Diceros bicornis minor: one gene and its partner. The protein of the gene in region 1 purifies or fractionates together with the protein of each later gene. This does not show direct contact. Links are inferred from orthologs where the notes say so. Each region holds a gene or a part of one and is shown in the gene's direction. Other genes may lie near its edges.

What was found.
Region 2: the proteins of DNMBP (region 1) and DNM2 purify together in Homo sapiens (co-immunoprecipitation; 3 studies listed by BioGRID and IntAct, with this or other methods). This does not show direct contact. The link is inferred for Diceros bicornis minor from reciprocal best matches to the Homo sapiens genes DNMBP and DNM2.

What each region holds. Positions count from the first base shown.
Region 1 is NC_080745.1:65,372,184-65,376,089, reverse strand, and holds the start of DNMBP (dynamin-binding protein), read left to right. Parts: upstream 1-1,346; 5' UTR 1,347-1,490; intron 1,491-3,906. UniProt on the Homo sapiens protein: Plays a critical role as a guanine nucleotide exchange factor (GEF) for CDC42 in several intracellular processes associated with the actin and microtubule cytoskeleton.
Region 2 is NC_080769.1:8,596,971-8,600,876, reverse strand, and holds the start of DNM2 (dynamin-2), read left to right. Parts: upstream 1-1,499; 5' UTR 1,500-1,531; coding exon 1,532-1,692; intron 1,693-3,906. UniProt on the Homo sapiens protein: Catalyzes the hydrolysis of GTP and utilizes this energy to mediate vesicle scission at plasma membrane during endocytosis and filament remodeling at many actin structures during organization of the actin cytoskeleton.

The sequences.
Region 1 (3,906 bases):
GCAGGAGGCCATACAACATTAGGATTAACAAATTACTTATTTTTCTGTTACTTGAGCAATCTCGCAGTCTGTGGTCAAGAGAAAAACAGAAGAAAATGTATCTTTTGCTGTTTAGAATGAGAATTCTCTCCTCAGGTGATTAACACTTTCTCTACATTTTTTTTTTCTTTCCAATTTTAATCCCAGGTTCCTTGGTTCCCTTCTTGTTGTTATAATAAAGCAGCCACTTGAGAGGGCTTCTTTTCAGTTCAGTGAAACTTTAAGCCTGAGGTTGCCATTTGCACTCGATTTTTCCAAATTGTCTGAATATCACTTTGTTTTCAGGTTCCCTGGTACATAGTCACTTAACAGAGCTGATGTTCGTAAAATACAGTCACAGTGCTTTCCCTGGCACAGCCACGAACATTTCATCGTTCATTCATTCTTGTAGGGGACATTTATGGAGTCCTTGCTCTTAATAAATGCAGAGAATACAAAGAGAAATAAGATATAGCTTGTGATCTCAGAGCAGCCACTGTCTAGTTGGGAAGACAAATAGGTCATTACACTGCATTGTGGTAATTGCTATGATTCAGGAAACTCACAGCTGGGGGCGGGGAGCCTGGGGGAAGGGCCCTACTCTAGTCTTGGGAAGATCAGGGAAGTCATTCCAGAGCTAGTGAAGTCCAATTTGAGATATGTGAGGTCAGACAAAGAGGCACTAGCCGGATGCAAAGAAATGGGGGAGCAATAGGCTAAGGAGGCTGCCAGTGCAGAGGTCAGAGCCCCAAAAGAGTGAGGCGTTCAAGGAACTGCAAGAAATTCAGTGTGATGGGAGAGAGTGAGGTGGGGGGAGCGGGTGCGGCGGCGGGAGCGGGTGAGCTGGTGGGAGCGGGTGAGGCGGCAGCTGGAGCGGGTGAGGCGCCAGCGGGAGCGGGTGAGCTGGTGGGAGCGGGTGAGGCGGCGGCGGGAGCGGGTGAGCTGGTGGGAGCGGGTGAGGCGGCAGCTGGAGCGGGTGAGGCGCCAGCGGGAGCGGGTGAGCTGGTGGGAGCGGGTGAGGCGGCAGCGGGAGCGGGTGAGCTGGTGGGAGCGGGTGAGGCGGCAGCGGGAGCGGGTGAGCTGATGCGAGCGGGTGCGGCGGCGGGAGCGGGTGCGCTGGTGGGAGCGCGTGAGGCGGCACAGGGAGCGGGTGGGGGGGGGCGGGAGCGGGTGAGGCGGCGGCGGGAGCGAGTGAGTTGGTGGGAGCGGGTGCGGCGGTGGGAGCGGGTGAGGCGCTGGCGGGTGAGGTGCGAAAGCTGAGGCCAGTGGGACAGGGAGGCACGAGATCCTGAAGGACCTTTGAACCACATTAGAAAGTTTGGACTTTATCCTGAGAAGAACAAGGAGCCATTGAAGGGTTCTACTGAGGGGAGTGGCAAAATCAGATTTAGAATGATCACCCTGGCTGCGGCCTGAAGAGCTGGCTGGAGCAGAAGCAAGACTGAGTCAGTGCGCAGACTGCTGATTGACAGGTGAGGAGGTGGCCTGAGCCTGGGCAGGGCGACGTGGACGGGGAAACACCAGGCAACTCGGGAGTTACTGAGTCCGTCCTGGATCTCCAGGGAGCTCCCGTCAGCCCCCACGGCTTCGCCGCCCTCTTCAAGACTTCCAGTCTTCTCATTCAGAACCTGCCTGCCTGCCACCCTGAGGATTTTAAGCACTAAAGGAGATGCAGGTTTTCAACCAAACCCTAAAGACTATCCTGAGTAAAATTCACCCACGCTGGAGGTGATTATACAGAGTATTATATGGAAAATATAGAGTCTGGCCGGGTCCGTATGGAAATTTCTCACAGCATATCGAGGAAGGATGTGAAATCACAGCTAATCAGGGAGAGAGAGGGCAGGATTCATAGGACAAGAAGGAAGGTCCTCCGACTTTCTGTCCAGCATTTTCCTGGCTGGTACCCTTTCTATTTTATAGCTAGCATTTTATTTTAAAGAGGAAATCTTCTGTACAGAATACCAGCCTAGATAAATGGGGTTTGCTAAAAGAGTAGACTGCTGTAGTTAAGGGCATGGGTTTTGGATTCTAACAGACCTGGGTTTTAATCCCAGCTCTGCTCCTTATTTGCTGTGTGACCTTGAAAACGTAACTTACCTTCTCTGAGTTACAGTTACTCACTTGGAGTTTATGGGAATTAAAGATGATACTCTCATAAATCAGTAAGGAGGGGAAGGCAGCTCGTCCCCAAGCCCTCCTCAAAAGATTATCGCTGTCAGGCTGGCCGATCCTAAGCCGATGAGTTTAACAGGAACGTCAAGGGTTTAAGGGTGCACAGGGGAGTTTGGAAGTGAGGCAGTCTCCCGAGGGGCTGAACGGAGCCCATTGTGTCTTTTTTTTTTTTGTTAATCTCATGTACTGAAAGTTCTTTATTAGTTCCTTATTCTTCCTGGCACTTTTTCTTCCAAACTGAAGGTTTCATGACACAGGAAATTCTCCTAGGAAAATTTCCAATTTTCAGACGTGATACCTGATGACTTTTGGATCTAATACTGGTTCCCGCAGAAGTTTCTGTTCCTGAGTTTCTGCTCCGATAAGCTGTGACCGCCCTGTCCTTTGACTTGAGTCTGCCTAGCCCTCAGAACAGCGTCTGGCATATATAGACTCATCGTCCATACTTGTCGAGTGGCTGATCTACAGGATTATCTTGACATTTTTCCTCCTTCTCTCCTCTTTCACTATTTTTCTTCTTTTATCTCATTTAACCTTCACAACAACCCTGTACAGTAGATATAAGTATCCCCATTCGTGCCTGAGGAAAGTGAAACTTAGAGAAGGTGAGAAGCTTGTCCAATGTCACACAGTGAGTAAGTGGTGGGAGCCACCATTTGAACCTCTCTTGGGCTTCAGGGCTGCCTTCTTAGCCACTGTGTTACAGGGCCTCATGCTAAGCTCTCAACCTGTGTTCATAACCCCTTTTATTAACACAAGGATCAGGGTAAAGAGTTCTTTAAATCCTTTGAAAATTCCTCTGAAGTTTCTGGATGGTTTCTCCTTTCCCCTCAGCTAGTCCCTCCATTCCCATCTCCTGCGTATTATCAACTACTTGTACTTGCAGATGCAGGAAGCAAAGAGGAACTCTTGTGTGGCAGCCTGTTCCCTGGTCCCAATTTCGCAATCAACGCGTCCTCTTTCCCTCTTTTCTGGTTATACCCTGCTCCTCATCTACTCTAAAATCAAATGGCTGTTAGGCAGCTGCATACATAAGTGTTGCATGATAAGCCAGTCTATTCAATGCCAAATTCAAACCACTGCAAACCCCCTTGAATAACATACTCTGCTTCAAAAGATTTCACCTCCTTTGTCAAATAGCCTTTAAATAAATCAACATAACCCATCAATATGTCAAATATAACTCAGAGGGAAAAAAAGATCTGTCTTTTAGATACAATTCCCAGGTACAGTAACAACTAAGAATCCATTGATCACGGTACAGTCTCCCTTACCATCCTAAAGCAGACATCCATCTGGCCGGGGGAAGGATCCAGCTAAACCATGCCCAGATTCCTGACCAAAAGAAACTAGGAGACAATACATTTGTGCTCTTTTAAGCCTCTAAATTTGTGCTAATTTGTTACACAGTAATAGAAAACTAATATATAAACTATCTCAAAAATTTTTCTAAGTTAGGTAGGATATAAATAAATAAAATACAAAAAACCAATTGTGATCAGTGAACTGAGTGGTAGAGCTGCCATGCTCCTACCTCAAGTGACTGTATGTAAAACAAAGCCTAGGAAAAAACGAAAACATACTAACTCTTTAAATAAGAGGGCTGGTGTAGTCAACTTTACTCAGTAGGTGACTGTGACAACATTTCTTTCTCTAAAGAGCACATGTCTGACAGCAGGGACTTCAGCCTTTGGGTAACTGTAGTATCCTGCC
Region 2 (3,906 bases), on another chromosome or scaffold:
TTTTTTCTTTCTTTTGTTATATCTCAGATTATTTACACATCAGTACATGAAGACTAACTCAATCTTTTTTACAGCTGTTGCATAGTATTTATGAGCTCCATGGATGGGCAGTTAGGGTGTTTCCAGGTTTCTGTGATTGTGGTCAAGGCCGCATTGCCAAAACTTGTTGGTCGTCTTGTTGCCCATTTCTCTGAGACCTGGGGTTATGGGTCAGGGAGCAGGCCCATCTGTTCCCCAAGGGATCAAATCACTTTTCTTAAAATCCTTCCACATATCCCCGGCCTCTTTTCTAAGAGGTTAATGGTTTCGGTTCCCACAACCCCCAACTGTTGCCTGCAAAATAAGGTGTCTTTACCTGGGGAGAGGATCGTTGAGTTTCACCGGGCACTCCAAAAGATCCAAGATGCGCTCAAGTTGAAGAGGCAGGAGAACAACGTTGGAGCGTTAGCCGCAGCAAGACGGGGCGTGAGCGGAAAGTATTCCTAGGAGAGAGCACAGCATTTGCAAAGGCTTAGAGGCGTGACTTTATAGGAATGAAAGTGGGGGCCAGCGATGCAGTGCTAGACCGCCTCTCCCTAAGAACGACTCACATCGCCTGATTCTCACCTTCAAAGCGCGTTGGGACCCCGCGCGGAGAGCTGGTTTGCGAGCCCGGGGCCGAGATGCATTCTGGGACTTGTAGTTTTCTCTCGAGCCCGGAAACTCACACATGAAGATCACCACCGGGTCCCACCACGAGGTGGCGTCCTTAGGCGAGTAAGGTGGGCTTTACCCTGTACTCCAGAAGCCTCTCCAATAGACATACAACAATCCCAAGTCAAAACGGGAGATTTTTTGATTGACAAATGCAGTGATCAATCAGAGTCAGGGTTCAGAGGTTAAAGCCCGCCCTCTTTCGTTTTGTTGGCTGATGGAACGGAGTGATAGTTATATAAACCAATAGGAAGTTTTTAGGGAACTAGGTAGCGTCAAGTGACAAACCAGTGTCTAAGGATCGATCCCTAATATCATTGGCCAGCTTTGTTGACTGGCGGGTCTTCCTGCCAATAAGACTGGCGGATTTTCCTGCCATCGGGAATCCCTCCCTAATAGGCGGCACCAATATGCCTTTTCCCGAAACACCGCCCCCTGGCCTTGACAACTCGCTTCCCGCCGCTATTGGCTCTTGCACAACAGCGACAGCTCTTGCGTCCAATCAGCCCGCGAGAAGGTCCCCCGGGGGAGACTCCCCGCCCGTAAGCCCGTGCCTCGCTTTCATTGGCTCGTGTGCACGAGTGGCAGCCCGGCCGGCCAATCGGAGCCGGCGCAAGAGCTTTGGGCGCAGCCCCGGGGCCCGGGCGGGAGGTCGCTCGGGTCGGGTGTCGCCTGAGAACCGGATGAGGCGGCGACCGTGAGGCCGAGCCGGGAGCGGGCGTTGCGCCGAGGCCCGGGCGTGCGGGGAGCAACGGCCGCGGACTCCGCGGGGCCGCGTCGTTGAGGGCCGGGGGCGGGCGGGGAGCGCGGGGCGCTCGGGCCGGGGGCCGCCGGCGCCATGGGCAACCGGGGGATGGAGGAGCTGATCCCGCTGGTCAACAAGCTGCAGGACGCCTTCAGCTCCATCGGCCAGAGCTGCCACCTGGACCTGCCGCAGATCGCCGTGGTGGGCGGCCAGAGCGCCGGCAAGAGCTCGGTGCTCGAGAACTTCGTGGGCCGGTGAGCGAGCGCGGCGGCGGCGGGCGGCGGGCGGCGGCCTGGCGCGGAGGGCGGACCGGGAATGGCGCGCCGTGCGCCGCCGGCGTAACTGCGGCGCTTGCGTGCCCGCGGCGGGACGGGGACAGGGAGGCGGGCCTGCGGGCGCCCCGGGCGGAGGACTCCCTGCGGGGGCCGGGGGCCGTGTCGCGGGCTGGGGGCGTGGGCCCCGAGGCGCGGTGGACCCCCGCCGGCTCCCCGGTCCCCAGCTTGAGTGGGTGAAATCTACTATCTGGTTGCCGCTGGGTCCGGGGTAGGTCCGCCTTCTTTGCGTCTCTCTATCCGCAACCTGCCAGCTAGATACCTATCGGGCCGACCCCTGCCGTCTGGCTGGCTTTTCATTTATCTGGAGCAGCCCTCGCCGTCTGGTTGGCCCTCACTGCGTCCTGGATAGGCCTCCCTGCCACCACCATTTGGCTGTCCATCTGGCCAGTCCCGCAGGGCAGCCCCCTGCTGTCTGGCTAGCTGTCCAGGGTGACCTGTGCAGTCTGCCTGCCCATCCGTGCCCCTCACAGACTTTAACGCTTAACCATCCATCTGTAGGGTCACCCCAGCTGGCCTCTGGCGTCTGACTGCCTGGCTGGACCCTAAGGGGCCCTGTTGTCTGGCTCGCTTGGCCTCACTTTTCAGCTTGGCTCCTGGCAAACGCTGTCTCCTCTCTTCCAAGTGGATCCTTTTGTCTGTCTGTCCTGGTGTCTGTCCTTTTCCTGGTCTGCCCGTCGGTGCCCTGGCGGCCCCCGACTGTCTGGCCCAAGCTCTGGCAGGGGGTGGTGGGAGCATGCAGAGGAGAAGGGAGCTGAAGGATGAATGTTGAACGCCTTCCTTCTCAGTTGGAAGTAGGACCCCAGTGGAACTTTCTCCAGGATTCTTGCCTGGCCCCTGTCAGGGTGCTCCAGGTCCCCAGAACACAGGGGCCAGCCTCCAGGCTAAAGCTTGCAAATTGGGAGGCCCTCCTTGGAGCCTAGGAAGGAACTTCTTGCCTGCTCAGGCCTCAGTGGCAAGAGCTGGAATACAGCCTTCCCTGGGCAGCCCTGAGAAGCCTCAGTTTGCGCATCTGTCCAGTGGGCAAATTCCACTCTCTGGGCTGTTTTCCAGGATTCAGGAAGCTAATGAATGAGAACAGGCACTGAGGCCACCGAGGGTGGTTAGTTCGCCCCTCTCCCTTCGCCCCTCTCCCTTCGCCCATCTCTTGCCCTTCTGCCTCCCAGATGGGCGGCCACTTCTCCATTCTGGGAAGGACTCCATTTGTGACCGTGGCTGCCACATGATACCATCATAGTCATCAGTCTCATCGTTATTATTACTGTTGTTGTCAGTGTTATGAGGTCACGTTCATCCAGCAGGCCTAGTGCTGAGTTCTTTCTTGGTTTGGTATCTTGATTCCCACCATCAGCGGGTGGGGTGGAGCTTCTGTCATCCCCGCCTTAGAGATGAGCGGGGAGGCTCAGAAAGGACTCGCCGTTTGCCCAAGGCCACCGGGCTGGCGCTCAGTGGAGCCCAGCTGGGCACGCACCCCGCCTCTGCCTCCCAGAGGCCTGGAGTTTTGCTCCCAGCGGCACGAATCTCCTCCTCTGCTGCTTTACCTCTGGCGAGCTGCCCTCTGTCCACTGTGGCAGAAAGGTGTGGACTTGGGGTCAGCTGGGGCTGGGCTGATCCTCGGGCCGGGCTGTGGGCCCCTGCGTGCGTGGCCATCTTCCTGCCTGCCCAGGCTTCCAGTGGGCGTCCGTAAAGCTGTCCATTTCATTTGCCTTTGACCTTGCACAGGTTATTTGGTCTCTCTGAGCCTCAGTTTTCCCTCCTAAAAATGGGGTGACGATCCCTCAACAAGACTGTTGCAAGGATGCAGTGAAAGTTCTTCCTTAGCACATAGTAGGTCTACATGGACGGGGCCGGTGTTCACCAGGCTGCTTCCTCTCATGTCGACAACAAAAGCTAATTAGAATTAAGTGCTCTCAGGTAACACACTGGACTTGGTTTAAGCCTTATGAGGCTGGCGCTGCTGTGATTTCTGTTTTACAGAGCAGGAAACTGAGGCTCAGAGAGCTGAGCACGCTGCTTGGGGCTGTTCAGTGAGGAATTGGCGGCTCTGGGGTTGGGGGCCCGGGGTTTCCCTTCCCTCCCCACCTCTCCTCGGTCCCTCTGCCCCTGGCCTTTCTCTTCGTCCCACTCTGGCATCTG